Schizosaccharomyces pombe: one gene and its partners. The protein of the gene in region 1 interacts with the protein of each later gene in a biochemical or structural test. Each region holds a gene or a part of one and is shown in the gene's direction. Other genes may lie near its edges.

Region 1 (4,082 bases):
TTTCTGTAATCATCATATTTTTGTCAAAAGCAACATGATGGCCTCTCAGGACAACAAATTTGGGTCCTAGCCGATGAATAATGGACATGAGATTTTGAATATCAGGAAACGACTTTAGAGGAGGAGGTGACTTCTTTAAAGTCTTTTCAACGAGTATAAAGGCTTCCATTACATTGGATGCGTAAACGAGAAGATGGGGGAAGAGATGCTGTATAGTAGCGGGAATGGTAGGTGTTTCACACATAACATTTCCCATACTACTAATTATCACAGAATCCATTACGACATCGGTTATTTTGTATTTTGTCAGTGCCTGCGAAATAACTGGTATGCTTTTGGGATCAGGAAGCATACCAATTTTTACAACCCTGCACTGAATGTCGCTGAGACAAGCATCGATTTGTCTCTGAATTAAACTAGGATGAAGGGGATAAATCCCAGTAATTCCATGAGAATTTTGACATGTAAGCGCAGTTAATACGCTCATTCCGTACACCTGGTGAGCTGTCATCACTTTCAAGTCTGCTTGAATTCCCGCAGCACCGCTACAATCTGAACCTGCAATTGTAAGACAAGTTGGGTGATTCGTTTTCGCATTATGGGATTGATTCGCTTCCATATTGTAGTGTTGAAAGAAATCAAAACAGCAAGTCGTAACAAAAAAAAACACAATTTTAAAGAAAACAAAAATATGTGCTCAGACAATTGAACGAAGCACGAAAAAAGAAGGATAAAAAAACAACAAGAAGCGCAGAATTTCGCTTACCAAATAAAAAATCGTTTTAAAAACAAATTATGGTTTTCAAACCTACAGCAAGCTTGCTGTAATTCAACATTCCCTAATGAAGGGTCAAATCTACTATTCCAAAGACTTTTAAAGATATGCCACAATTATTGTGTATTTAGAGAAAGAGGGAGAGGACAAAAGAAAGAATCAAAAGAAACTGCGACATGTGGGCCGGAATTTAAACGGCATACAGAAGCAAGGTTACATGCAAATCGATGGAAGCAAGTATGCGAGAGAAGGTAATAATTTTTGCTTAAGCGGATTTGAGTATTCGCTTAATTTTACGTTAAAATAAAGGTAAGATAAGCGACTAGTCCGACTAAGTAAATGTTCAAGAAATATTAGAAGAAATAAATTGGAAATGCCGTTGGCACAATGGATTTTGATTCCAAAGTTTGTTTACATGAATTTACGAAGCAAATTTAAAAAAATATGCCCCAACTCCGATACCATGAAATGTGTTTAATAACGATATTCTATTCCTTCCATGATACCTCGTGTATGGTGAACATTGGTATATCACAGTTTTCAACGTAAATTGAAGAAATTTTTTTAAATAAAATTTTTTTTAATTGAAGAAAGTCTTTTATGGTCTTTTCCAGGAGTTTAAGTATTAATCAGTTTGGAATGCCGAGCAAACCCATTTAGAGAAAAATTTTAAGGCATTTTAACTAGTTTGGGTGGTTATTAGTAAATGAAAGAATATGAATTTGTATATGGCCAACTCAAATTGTTGTACAGTTTGCTCATATACACGACTATCTATGGCAATAAGTATTAATACCACTACCTCGTTAGCAAAATACTTTTGTCAAGAACTCATATTTATGACTTGAACAATTATTACTATAAAAAGGATAATTATATAGAATAAAATTTCGAGATATTATGTCAGTCAAAATAGCCTAAAAAATTCCTGTTCACTTAAATTCTTCGTCAACCACATTCAATATGAAGTTGATTCAAAAAAACATCGAAAAAAATGGCTCCGGATGGATAACCATGTGCCCTGAAGAGCCAGAAGATATGTGGTATGCCTGGTTGCTGTATATCTGCAATCAATGCACAAACTAACTTAGTTTAGGCATTTGTATAATATTCTTCAAGTTGGAGATCAGCTGAAGGCTTCTACAGTTCGGTATGAAATAAAGTGTATCTTCAATGTTCGATAATAACACCTGTTTTTTCTGTTGTTTAGTCGTGTAGTGAAAGTTGGCGCTACAGGAAGTACGTCAGGTTCAAGAGTTGTGATGAAACTACGTATTTTAGTTGAGAATATGGACTTTGATACAAAGGCTGCTCAATTGCACATCAAAGGACGGACAACTGAATACCATCCTGAAGTTAAGATGGGATCCTACCATACCTTGGACTTAGAACTACATCGCAATTTTACTCTATATAAAAATGAATGGGATGCATTTGCATTGGACCGTGTAGATGCTGCTTGTAATCCTTCAAGAAATGCTGAAATAGGTGCTGTGGTTTTAGATGAAGGTAAATTTCTTGGCTTACATCGCTTTATTAGTTCGTGCATGTTTACTGACTTGCAGGTCTTGCCAATATTTGTCTCATTACAGATTATATGACCATCCTGCGTCAAAGGATTGATCAAGTGATTCCAAGGAAACGGAGAGGGGACAGCAGCGCTTACCAAAAGGTAAATTTTTAGACTTTGATTTTTCGTCCGTACTGATCAATTTTTTAGGGCCTTGATAAATTTTATGACTCTGTTTTTCAATCCATTAACTCAGAATTTGATTTTGATAAATTGAAAGTCGTTATTCTTGCTTCACCAGGATTTGTGGCTCGAGGCTTGTATGACTACATATTCAGCATGGCCGTGAAGTTAGACTTGAAACAAATTGTTAAATCAAAGAATAAATTTGTCATCCTTCATTCTAGCACTGGTCATATTCATTCCCTTAATGAAATTTTGAAGGACCCTGCTGTTGAATCAAAACTAGCCGACACAAAATACGTACAAGAAATTCGCGTTCTGAATAAATTTTACGATGTCATGAATGAAGATGATAGAAAGGCATGGTATGGTCCAAATCATGTTTTGAAGGCTTTTGAACTTGGCGCGATCGGAGAACTTCTGATTAGCGATTCTCTGTTCAGGAGTTCTGACATTGCTACTAGAAAAAAATGGGTTTCATTAGTAGAAGGTGTTAAGGAGATTAACTGTCCTGTTTATATTTTCAGTAGTTTGCATGAGTCAGGGAAGCAGCTGGATCTGTTGTCAGGTATTGCCGCCATTCTCACTTACCCAGTCGATGAAGAGGATATATCAGAAGATGAAGAGGATGAGGAATCCCAAAATTTTGAACATAGTTAAAGTTCATCAGTATCCGAATTGTCATGAATCTAATTATTGCTAAGCCAATATTTCATACTTTAAGCTCGGTTAGAACAATTTGTTTCATTCTCTTAAAAAATTTATTTATGGGCTCGTTTTGGTAGTCATTATTTATGCTTTTACTTGGATGTTTTAGGGTATTTACTATGATAAACATGCAAAAAATTAGGTGTTAGAATGGTCAAAAATTGATACCCTAAAATGATTTATACTTATCGATTATAACTCTTAACTTGTAAAATTAAGCTGTTAATTATAGCCGGTCCAATACAGTATTCAATTACAGTAAAAAAATCAACTTTAAGCGATAAATTCGCTACAAACGTATTTGTTGAAGTTACTTTTTTCAAAAAACTAACAATTCGAAATTGATAGTGGCTCATTTACTTGCTTATTTTATTAAAAGTTCGCGCCAAGATACTTATTCAATAAGGGGGTTTGACCCTTCTAAAAGCTAGGCAGGTGTTTGAAAATCCGGAACCAATATATAGACAAAAGTAATTTAATAACGAAACCGATTATTGAATCAATCAATTCAAGATATATCACTGGCGATATACAACAGTTTTAAAATTCACTCAAAAATTTATCAATCATTCATAAGATGAAAATTAGGATAATTAAATCAGTTCCGTAAAACTTTGATGTTCTGCGTAAATTTAAAAAGAAAAGATATGACTAGCTTAACCAATTTAATATTCCATAAAGGCAATGTACTTGGAGAGCATGTATGCTTCCGGGAATTTCATATTTGTATGCACATTTCGTAAAAGACTGATTGTGTATATCCCTATCCACAAATGAAAATCGAATGACAGTATTAAATTGATAATCTTGACAATATATTTCCGAAAAATTTATTAGATTTATGTACATTTAATAGACCAAAAATAAAGGAATAAATAGTGACTGAATCAATCACTGCTTTCTAGT
Region 2 (4,943 bases), 810 kb from region 1:
GACTTTTTCTTTGCAACGGATTCTTGTTTTTTGATGCCTAAAAGCTGTAGCCTAGCAGCTTCAGAATCACTAAGAGATTCTGCAAGTTCATCAGATTCGTCTAATGATTCATTAGGTATTGATACCAAAGGAAGTGCTTCTAAAGCTATCCAGTTCGAAGGTGCTGTATTTGAAGAATACTCTGTTTCATCATCTGCATACTTGAGTAATAATACGGGAGTTTGTACATCATCTAACCGAAGAAGTTTACCGGACAAACTAAAAAAAAGCGTGCGCACATCATTTAGTGAAATGGTTTTGGTGACAGGAGTCTCATCTTCATCATGGTAACGATCATCATCAAAAGATTGTTTTAAAGATAAAGCATAGGCTAGAACCGTATCCTTGGACTTCAACCGTTGAGGAGGCATGCGAAACATTTTGGCGATACAAACAGGCATCTCTTCTTTCCACATGACTAAATCATTGCTTATATAACCAGACTTGGCGTGGTTATCTATAATTTTATAAGTTCGCAGGAAAAATGTGGGGCCAACTTGTAAAGGTTCATTTCCAGTAAATGCAACATTCGCCCTATATATGTATGAATTAGCTCGTAGAAGTTGGGAAAATGAAGTAGATTTTGGAAGAGAAGATGAAATAGAAGCACCAGAAGTAGTGATGGACAGATTTAAGAGAGGAACTGCATCATTAATTTTGAGAAGTAAAGTTTTCATTTCACGAAGAATAGACGTATCAACGTTCTTCTGCAAAGTTTCTTTTTCTGAGGAAGGCGGAAATTCCGAATGAGCGGCGCTTAAAACATGCTTGGTGAATTGTTCGATGTCAGCGTGCAAAGAATCCACTAATTGCTTAGTACTCTTAAAATTTTCATTTTCACCGACTGACATTATTTCAATTAGTTCGATAGCAGGCGTCACAACTCGAATCATTTCAAGCAGTTGAGTTTTCACAGACTCCAATTCACTTTGATCATCTGCAGAGGCACGTTTAATATAGCTGCTAACTTGCTGAACAGCTAATTTTCCTGCAAATGATATACTATGTTTCAACGCGAAGTTCGTAGCAAATGTCGCAGCATGAGAAGCTACATTAAGTAATTCATCCATTTCTAAAAAGGCGGCTTTAAAAAACACAAGAGAAAACAAGGCTAAACAAATAAATAATGGTCATTCAAATTGTATTTATTCCTTTTAACAACAAATTAATAACGAAATAAAAAGAAGCGTAGTAAATTGAGAACCAAATAGAACTTGCGCTAAGTCATAGTGATATGTGGAGGATAGAAGTTTAATATCCAAACACGCCTATAGAATTTTGTATAAGGAAATCCTAAAGTGAATAATTATATAATGGATTTACATATTGAATCTTTTGGAACTTGCTTGGTATATATTTTGAAGCTGTAACGCTGATTCATCGTTTCTTCCATGACAAAATCCTTGCAGTGATTATTGGTGACAATGGAGACTAATTAACCAATAGATTTAAAAACTTTTGATTAATTGTTCAACCCAATAGCTAATAAATGTTGTGTTTGGTATTAAGCCCACCGAAGTTTCTGTTTTTTATCTCCCAAGGCAAGTCAATATATTTTACCTGTTTAAGACAATAATAGCGTATTACTGAAGAAAAAAGCGAGAAAATGACCAATTTACAATTCAGTTGCTTCCGATTTTACAACCAAATGTAAAATTAAACTCAAATATAATATTTTATGAACTTAACTGAATTACTATAGCACAAGCTTATATAAAGGATGCTAATAATATCATCGTAAGTACTCGTAATATTATATTATAAAAGAATACACAGTGTATACTGTGGTGTAAATTCTCTTCAACATCACCGTCCCTTTACCACATATTTTAATAAAGGCAAAAAATGGCTAGTAATCAGCCAAATAACGGTGAACAGGATGAGCAACTCGCCAAGCAGACTTCTAAACTGTCGATGTCTGCAAAGGCACCTACGTTTACGCCTAAAGCTGCTCCCTTCATTCCTTCTTTCCAACGTACGTTTTTTAATTAGAACACCATCCATATGTCTTGAGATGATTGCTTGTTTTAAGTAAAAAAATTATTAACTTCTTGCTAGGCCCCGGATTTGTACCTGTGAACAATATTGCTGGTGGTTATCCTTATGCCCAATATACAGGCCAAGGACAAAACAGCAACTCGCCACATCCTACGAAGAGTTATCAGCAATACTACCAAAAGCCAACAGGAAACACTGTTGATGAAGATAAAAGCCGTGTCCCTGATTTTTCTAAAAAGAAGAGTTTTGTGCCTCCTAAACCAGCAATTCCCAAAGGAAAGGTTTTGTCCCTGGGTGGAAACACCTCTGCTCCTAAGTCTACAAAGCCCATTAGCATCAGCCTTGGTGGAACAAAAGCTCCTACAACTACCAAACCAGCAGCACCTGCTGCACAAAGCAAAACAGAGACCCCTGCACCCAAGGTTACCTCTGAGTCAACAAAGAAGGAGACCGCTGCTCCTCCTCCCCAGGAAACTCCTACAAAATCTGCTGATGCTGAACTAGCAAAAACACCCTCTGCTCCAGCAGCGGCTCTTAAGAAAGCTGCTGAGGCAGCTGAACCCGCCACTGTCACTGAGGATGCCACCGATTTACAAAATGAGGTTGATCAAGAGCTTTTGAAGGATATGTATGGAAAGGAACATGTCAATATTGTTTTTATAGGTCATGTTGATGCAGGAAAGTCTACCCTGGGTGGTAATATTCTTTTCTTGACTGGTATGGTTGACAAGCGTACTATGGAGAAAATAGAGAGAGAAGCTAAAGAAGCTGGTAAAGAAAGTTGGTATCTTTCTTGGGCTTTGGACAGCACTTCTGAAGAACGTGAAAAAGGTAAAACCGTTGAAGTTGGTCGTGCTTACTTTGAAACCGAACACCGTCGCTTTAGCTTGTTGGATGCTCCGGGTCATAAAGGTTACGTTACAAACATGATTAATGGTGCTTCTCAAGCTGATATTGGTGTTTTAGTCATTTCAGCGCGTCGTGGTGAGTTTGAAGCTGGTTTTGAGCGCGGTGGTCAAACTCGTGAACATGCCGTATTGGCTCGTACACAAGGCATCAATCATCTAGTTGTCGTTATTAATAAAATGGACGAACCTAGCGTTCAGTGGTCGGAGGAGCGTTATAAGGAATGTGTCGATAAGCTCAGCATGTTTTTGCGTCGTGTCGCTGGATACAACTCAAAGACTGATGTTAAATATATGCCCGTTTCTGCTTACACTGGTCAAAACGTTAAGGATCGTGTTGACAGTTCGGTTTGCCCGTGGTATCAAGGTCCATCTTTGCTAGAATACTTGGATTCTATGACTCATTTGGAACGCAAAGTGAATGCTCCATTCATCATGCCTATTGCCTCCAAGTATAAAGATTTGGGTACCATCTTAGAAGGAAAGATTGAGGCTGGTTCGATTAAGAAAAATTCAAACGTATTGGTTATGCCAATTAATCAAACCCTTGAAGTTACAGCCATATATGATGAAGCTGATGAAGAAATCTCTTCTTCTATTTGCGGTGACCAAGTTCGTCTCCGTGTCCGTGGTGACGATTCGGATGTCCAAACTGGTTATGTTTTAACATCCACTAAAAACCCAGTTCATGCTACTACTCGTTTCATTGCACAAATTGCGATCCTTGAGTTGCCTTCAATTTTGACAACTGGTTATTCTTGTGTAATGCACATTCATACCGCTGTCGAGGAAGTTTCATTTGCCAAGTTGCTCCATAAACTTGACAAAACAAACCGCAAAAGCAAGAAACCCCCCATGTTTGCTACCAAGGGTATGAAAATTATTGCAGAGTTGGAAACACAAACTCCGGTTTGTATGGAAAGGTTTGAGGACTATCAGTATATGGGCCGTTTCACTTTGCGTGATCAGGGTACTACGGTTGCAGTTGGCAAAGTCGTAAAAATTTTGGATTAGGGTAATTTCGGCAATTTTCTCGTGCTCGGGATTTGTTTCTATGCAAATGTATGACACTTTATGGTTCTACTGTATATAATCCAACTAGGACAAAATGGGATTTGCTTATTTTTTAGTTGGTGGACTAGCGGTATGGTAGAAGATGTATATCTAATCGTTATATACGCGTATTACTATGCCTAATTTCAATGCGATGGGTTGTATATATGAAGAATAATGGACATTCACTCCTTTACACCCTATTCACTTTGAAATTATTTACTTTTTTCGTACAGAATTCAATGCGAGGAGTAGGTCAGCAAATAGTAAATAAGCAGTTGCACTTTGCAGCTATGGAAGGGTGAAATGTGATAATAAGTTGTTGTTTTTTTACAATCCATATTAATGATTAAAACTACACTTGAAATCTTCATAATATTGTAAAATAATAGTTTATTTAAATCACTAGATATACTGAAATTTATTGTGCTACTACACCAAATCTTACCGAATAAATACCGAGGTGGATCATATTTACAGTAATCCGATCATTCTACCGTTTACATTCCACCAGCATTTCTGTACCGTATCCGAATTTCACGTACTCTTTTGACGTTGCTTGGTTTTAAGAGTAAGCATTGAAGTGTTGAAAGGTATAGTTTTTGCTATTCCGTTTAGGAATACGGGACATTGACGTTTTGAGATGACACTGCTGGAGCTCCAAAAAGAATGTATGGTTATTTGTGCTGGTGTATTACTAACAAATAAGTGTTTCTTAGCAAAATTAATTCAGTAGAATGTGCTACGAAGGTAAGAGATGGAACCCGTGAAACTTATAACGTGCACTGAAATGTTTACTGGGAATTTTGATTTGGATATTGTTTAAATGGAATTGAATTTGTGAATATGCAGCATATTATTTCCTCCGACATATTTTTTTTAAACTATCAAAATTGGCCTATTTCTAATTTGGAGCCGTTCAGTTTCACATCTTTGGCTTTTGGTTTG
Region 3 (4,416 bases), on another chromosome or scaffold:
CCCTTCAATTTTCCATACCCAGGCACGCTCATCCGGACGAAAGACACATGGATCGAAAAGCATATCTTTCGGAATGAAAATATCGTCAAAAAAGCTAATAGTTACTGGGAGAAAAACATTAACAACAAGCATTTAAACAAACACATTTAACATACCCCGAATACCTTCTTCACTGCACGATTTTATTTTTCCCAGCATTACTTCACCTCGAAAAGGACGAAAGATTATAAGGCGGAAAACCACTAATCTAATTAGAACCATTTAAGTTTTTCTTTTCCACTGAATCACTATCCTGACAGCCTTTCGTATTGATAATGCGAATTGGCATATGAAATAAAGTGAGCAGACTTATACTTACCATTCATGTATGAAGAGCCATCTCCGTATTTAATTATTCCTTCCCCAATTTTCAAAAAATCATAAACGCAAATAGCCAGTCCAATGTTTTGTATCACTTTGTTAGCATACTTTTTATGGATTTCTTCAGCCAGTGCTTCCTTTGTAGGCTTCCAAAAATTGGATGGATGGATGCTTATAATGTCTGAAAACCGACTCAAGAGAAACATAAATAATAAAACGGCTATTACTCGTAGTTTTTACCACCTTGTAGAAAAAATCTTTAACTTGAATAGAACGATAAATAATTAGAAATACAACAGTGGATCACAATCCAATTTAAAAATATTTCTTAACCTTTTGGTCAACAACTTTGCATAAATCAAAAGGAACCTTTCAAAAAAGTAATTTAACTGCAAGCCCAGCTTTCTTTGCCAGGTCGCGTAAAAATATGAATACGAAGATTATGTTGCATACCAGACCATTCATGGCGAGTTAACGATCTAATGAAAAGCGTGTTAAACGACTTAGCGAGGCCAGTGAAGTTTTAGCGCAGTAGCTTTAAGACAAATCCATGAAATATTGTTTACAATTGAAAAATTATAATGAGTAGAAGTTTCAATCGCTTATTCAAACATACAAATTTATTACAGAATTAATATAAATTTTAAATAGTTAAAAGGATGAATATAACAAGATTGTTGAGTGTTCTGTCGATATACATGCTCATGAGCAGTTAAGAAGTAAAAACAAATAATTAATGAAAGAATTCTTTGAAAATCGAACTACTAAATAATTTTTTAAAATTATTAGCTATTTTAGCTTTTTTTTCTATTTACAAATTCTAGCATATTTGTAAATAAACATTTTTTGTTAATATCTATGAGCAGTATTTAAAGATAAAAAAAAGGAAAATAATTAATTAAATATTGCTGCAAACATATCTAACGAGAGTATGGCATACTAAAATTTCCTGAAAATTTGACGATTCTGTTAACTTTAATATTGGCATAGTTTAGAAAACTTAAGTAAATCATTTTTTAGTCATTAAAAAGTTAAATATTTCATTTTGTTACATGAACGCCAAAATTTTTGAATTTAATGTTTAACAACTTTTGATACTTGACACTACAAACAGACTTATGTTTTCCCTACTCTTACTCATCCGAATTCAATAGTTCATAAAACATTTGAAGACAATGAGAGAAATTTACTATATAATGAATAGAATGGGTCCGGTCCGGCTTAATAAAAGGCATCCACCCTAAAACACTCAGTTGTTACAGTTGAGAATTTTTAACAACTCTTGTTGCAGCACTCAATTCAGTATAGCGACATTGCTAAAATTCGCTAAAGCTGCTGATGATGTATGAATATTTCCAAGAATTTACTCTAGAGCAAAGTGTCAAATGCCAACTTAAATATTATACATATATTTATTATTTATCAATAGAAACCATTTTTTTTAAAACAAGAAGTATTTATTGGTTTCTGACTTTTGGCAAAAATAACAAATTCAAAATATGTCGAGGCATCGTGATGTAAAAAATCTTGATCTTGATGGTTCGTACCATTTGATATTGTAATAGTTTGTATTTTTTTTTAACGTCTTTCTAGATTATGAACTCGACGAGGAGCCAGGAGAGGAAGAATTGACTGAAGAGCAGGAAGGTTAGTAAATGATTTCTTAAAAATATTAACGAACAATATCTAGAGGAATTCAGGTCTGCTGTAGCCACAGTAAGGGAGACATTATTAGGTGTTCCTATTTCAGAAAAAGAAATTGCCGATACAGTTTGGTACTATTACTTTGACGTAGAGAAATCAGTCAACTATCTTTTGCAAAAGGCTAGTTCCAAAGCTGGAGCTAAAGAAAAACAGAATACTGATTCCCAAAAAGAAAAAAAACAGAACAAATCGAAAGAAGCTTTAGCGGATGCCAAAGATCCATTGGATGAATCTTCTAATGGTATTAAAAATTTAAGCCTAAACAAAAATGATGAACCAGCATTTCAGACGAACGGTGAAGTAAAGATGAAAAATTCCTCCGAAAGCGATAACCAACCGGAGAAAAAGAAAATTAAAAAGCAAAACCCGACGGATCTAGTATCTGTTCCCGAAATATTTGAACAATCCAATCCTAAACCCGTGGTTCACTTAGTTGTTACAGGACATGTTGATTCGGGAAAGAGTACTATGCTTGGGAGAATAATGTTTGAGTTAGGAGAAATCAATAGTCGGTCAATGCAAAAGTTGCACAACGAGGCTGCCAATTCAGGAAAAGGTAGCTTTTCGTATGCTTGGTTGTTGGATACAACCGAGGAAGAACGAGCACGAGGTGTTACAATGGATGTTGCTTCCACCACTTTCGAGAGTGATAAAAAAATTTATGAAATTGGTGATGCGCCAGGTCACCGGGATTTCATTTCAGGGATGATAGCCGGCGCATCTTCAGCTGATTTTGCTGTGTTAGTTGTCGACTCCTCTCAAAACAATTTTGAGCGTGGTTTTTTGGAAAATGGACAAACAAGGGAGCACGCCTATCTGTTGCGAGCCCTTGGAATCTCGGAAATAGTTGTTAGTGTCAACAAATTGGACCTTATGTCTTGGTCGGAGGACCGTTTCCAAGAAATAAAAAACATAGTTTCTGATTTTTTGATCAAAATGGTTGGATTTAAAACCAGTAATGTACATTTTGTACCTATATCTGCGATTTCGGGAACTAACCTTATCCAAAAAGACTCATCTGATCTTTACAAATGGTATAAGGGTCCCACTCTTTTGAGCGCCTTAGATCAGCTGGTTCCCCCTGAAAAGCCATATCGGAAACCGTTGAGACTAAGTATCGATGATGTTTATCGTTCTCCACGTAGTGTTACAGTTACCGGGAGGGTCGAAGCAGGTAATGTTCAGGTCAATCAAGTTTTGTATGATGTTTCTTCTCAGGAAGACGCATATGTAAAAAATGTGATTCGTAATAGTGATCCTTCTTCGACTTGGGCTGTTGCTGGTGATACAGTTACATTACAGTTGGCTGACATTGAAGTTAATCAACTTCGTCCTGGGGATATACTATCAAACTATGAAAATCCTGTTCGTAGGGTAAGATCATTTGTTGCTGAAATCCAGACATTTGATATTCACGGTCCAATTTTATCAGGTTCTACCCTTGTCCTTCATTTAGGTAGGACTGTGACTTCGGTATCTTTAAAAATTGTTACAGTTAACAATAAACGTTCGAGGCATATAGCAAGCAGGAAGCGCGCATTAGTTCGTATAAGTTTTTTGGATGGATTATTTCCTTTATGTCTAGCAGAAGAATGCCCTGCTTTGGGAAGATTTATTCTAAGAAGAAGTGGTGATACGGTAGCTGCTGGCATTGTTAAAGAATTATGTTAAAGTCGATGAAATTATGCACTTCAAAACTATTAGACAGAATACTATTATTATTTCATTAAATAAATTATTAACTTAAAATTCATCATCACTCAATCCATTCACCGCGGTGTATTAATTTCCAAAAATGTGTATGTCGATTCATTAGTTCATCGAAACTGCCAGATTCCTTGACAATTCCAGAATCCATTACAATGATCCTGTCTGCCAATTTCATTAATGAGGGTTGGTGTGTAATTATCAAAACTGTACAACTCAAGTTTTGAATTGTTTTTTCTAGAAGAAGGCTTGACTTGCTATCTAAAGCAGACGTACATTCATCCAATATTAAAAGTCTGGGGTTCCGTAGAAGAGCTCTTGCAAACGCAAGGCGTTGGATCTGACCACCGGAAAAATTTTTGCTAAATTCAAGCAAAGGAGTATCTAAGCCGTTAGGAAGGTTTTGTATTACCTCAGTCATGTAAGTTTTGTCAAGTGCATCCATAACAGAATTAATATCTCTGTCAACACCATATAGCAAACTCTCCAAAATTGTAGAACCTAGAAGATGAGGTTTTTGATCTACAATGGCAACCTTTTTAAGCAACCAATTAGTATCGATGTTAGTTAGCGGATACCCATCAATGTAAATATCCTCTGAAGGGTAAGTCTTTCTCAATAGTTCTACCAAAGTAGATTTTCCAG

The links.
Region 2: the proteins of dom34 (region 1) and sup35 form a complex in vitro, tested with the Schizosaccharomyces pombe proteins (2 studies listed by BioGRID).
Region 3: the proteins of dom34 (region 1) and hbs1 are reported together in a solved structure, tested with the Schizosaccharomyces pombe proteins (one study listed by BioGRID).

The regions. Positions count from the first base shown.
Region 1 is NC_003421.2:727,395-731,476, forward strand, and holds dom34 (translation release factor eRF1 family protein), read left to right. Parts: upstream 1-1,713; 5' UTR 1,714-1,738; coding exon 1,739-1,818; exon of another isoform or gene 1,819-1,871; coding exon 1,872-1,925; exon of another isoform or gene 1,926-1,985; coding exon 1,986-2,284; exon of another isoform or gene 2,285-2,340; coding exon 2,341-2,447; exon of another isoform or gene 2,448-2,495; coding exon 2,496-3,128; 3' UTR 3,129-3,435; downstream 3,436-4,082. Other genes in the region: SPOM_SPCC18B5.05C (phosphomethylpyrimidine kinase), read right to left, coding at 1-619; nucleoporin Nup61, read right to left, coding at 4,078-4,082. UniProt on the Schizosaccharomyces pombe protein: Component of the Dom34-Hbs1 complex, a complex that recognizes stalled ribosomes and triggers the No-Go Decay (NGD) pathway.
Region 2 is NC_003421.2:1,533,569-1,538,511, forward strand, and holds sup35 (eRF3-like class 2 translation release factor sup35), read left to right. Parts: upstream 1-1,830; 5' UTR 1,831-1,884; coding exon 1,885-2,014; exon of another isoform or gene 2,015-2,048; intron 2,049-2,097; coding exon 2,098-3,956; 3' UTR 3,957-4,443; downstream 4,444-4,943. Other genes in the region: SPOM_SPCC584.03C (GTPase regulator), read right to left, coding at 1-1,109; SNARE-binding protein Sec1, read left to right, coding at 4,639-4,666, 4,705-4,745. UniProt on the Schizosaccharomyces pombe protein: GTPase component of the eRF1-eRF3-GTP ternary complex, a ternary complex that mediates translation termination in response to the termination codons.
Region 3 is NC_003423.3:2,592,605-2,597,020, forward strand, and holds hbs1 (translation release factor complex GTPase subunit), read left to right. Parts: upstream 1-1,740; 5' UTR 1,741-1,859; coding exon 1,860-1,899; exon of another isoform or gene 1,900-1,953; coding exon 1,954-2,007; exon of another isoform or gene 2,008-2,050; coding exon 2,051-3,735; 3' UTR 3,736-3,820; downstream 3,821-4,416. Other genes in the region: DNA-directed RNA polymerase III complex subunit Rpc25, read right to left, coding at 1-104, 156-242, 359-566; M-factor transmembrane transporter Mam1, read right to left, coding at 3,821-4,416.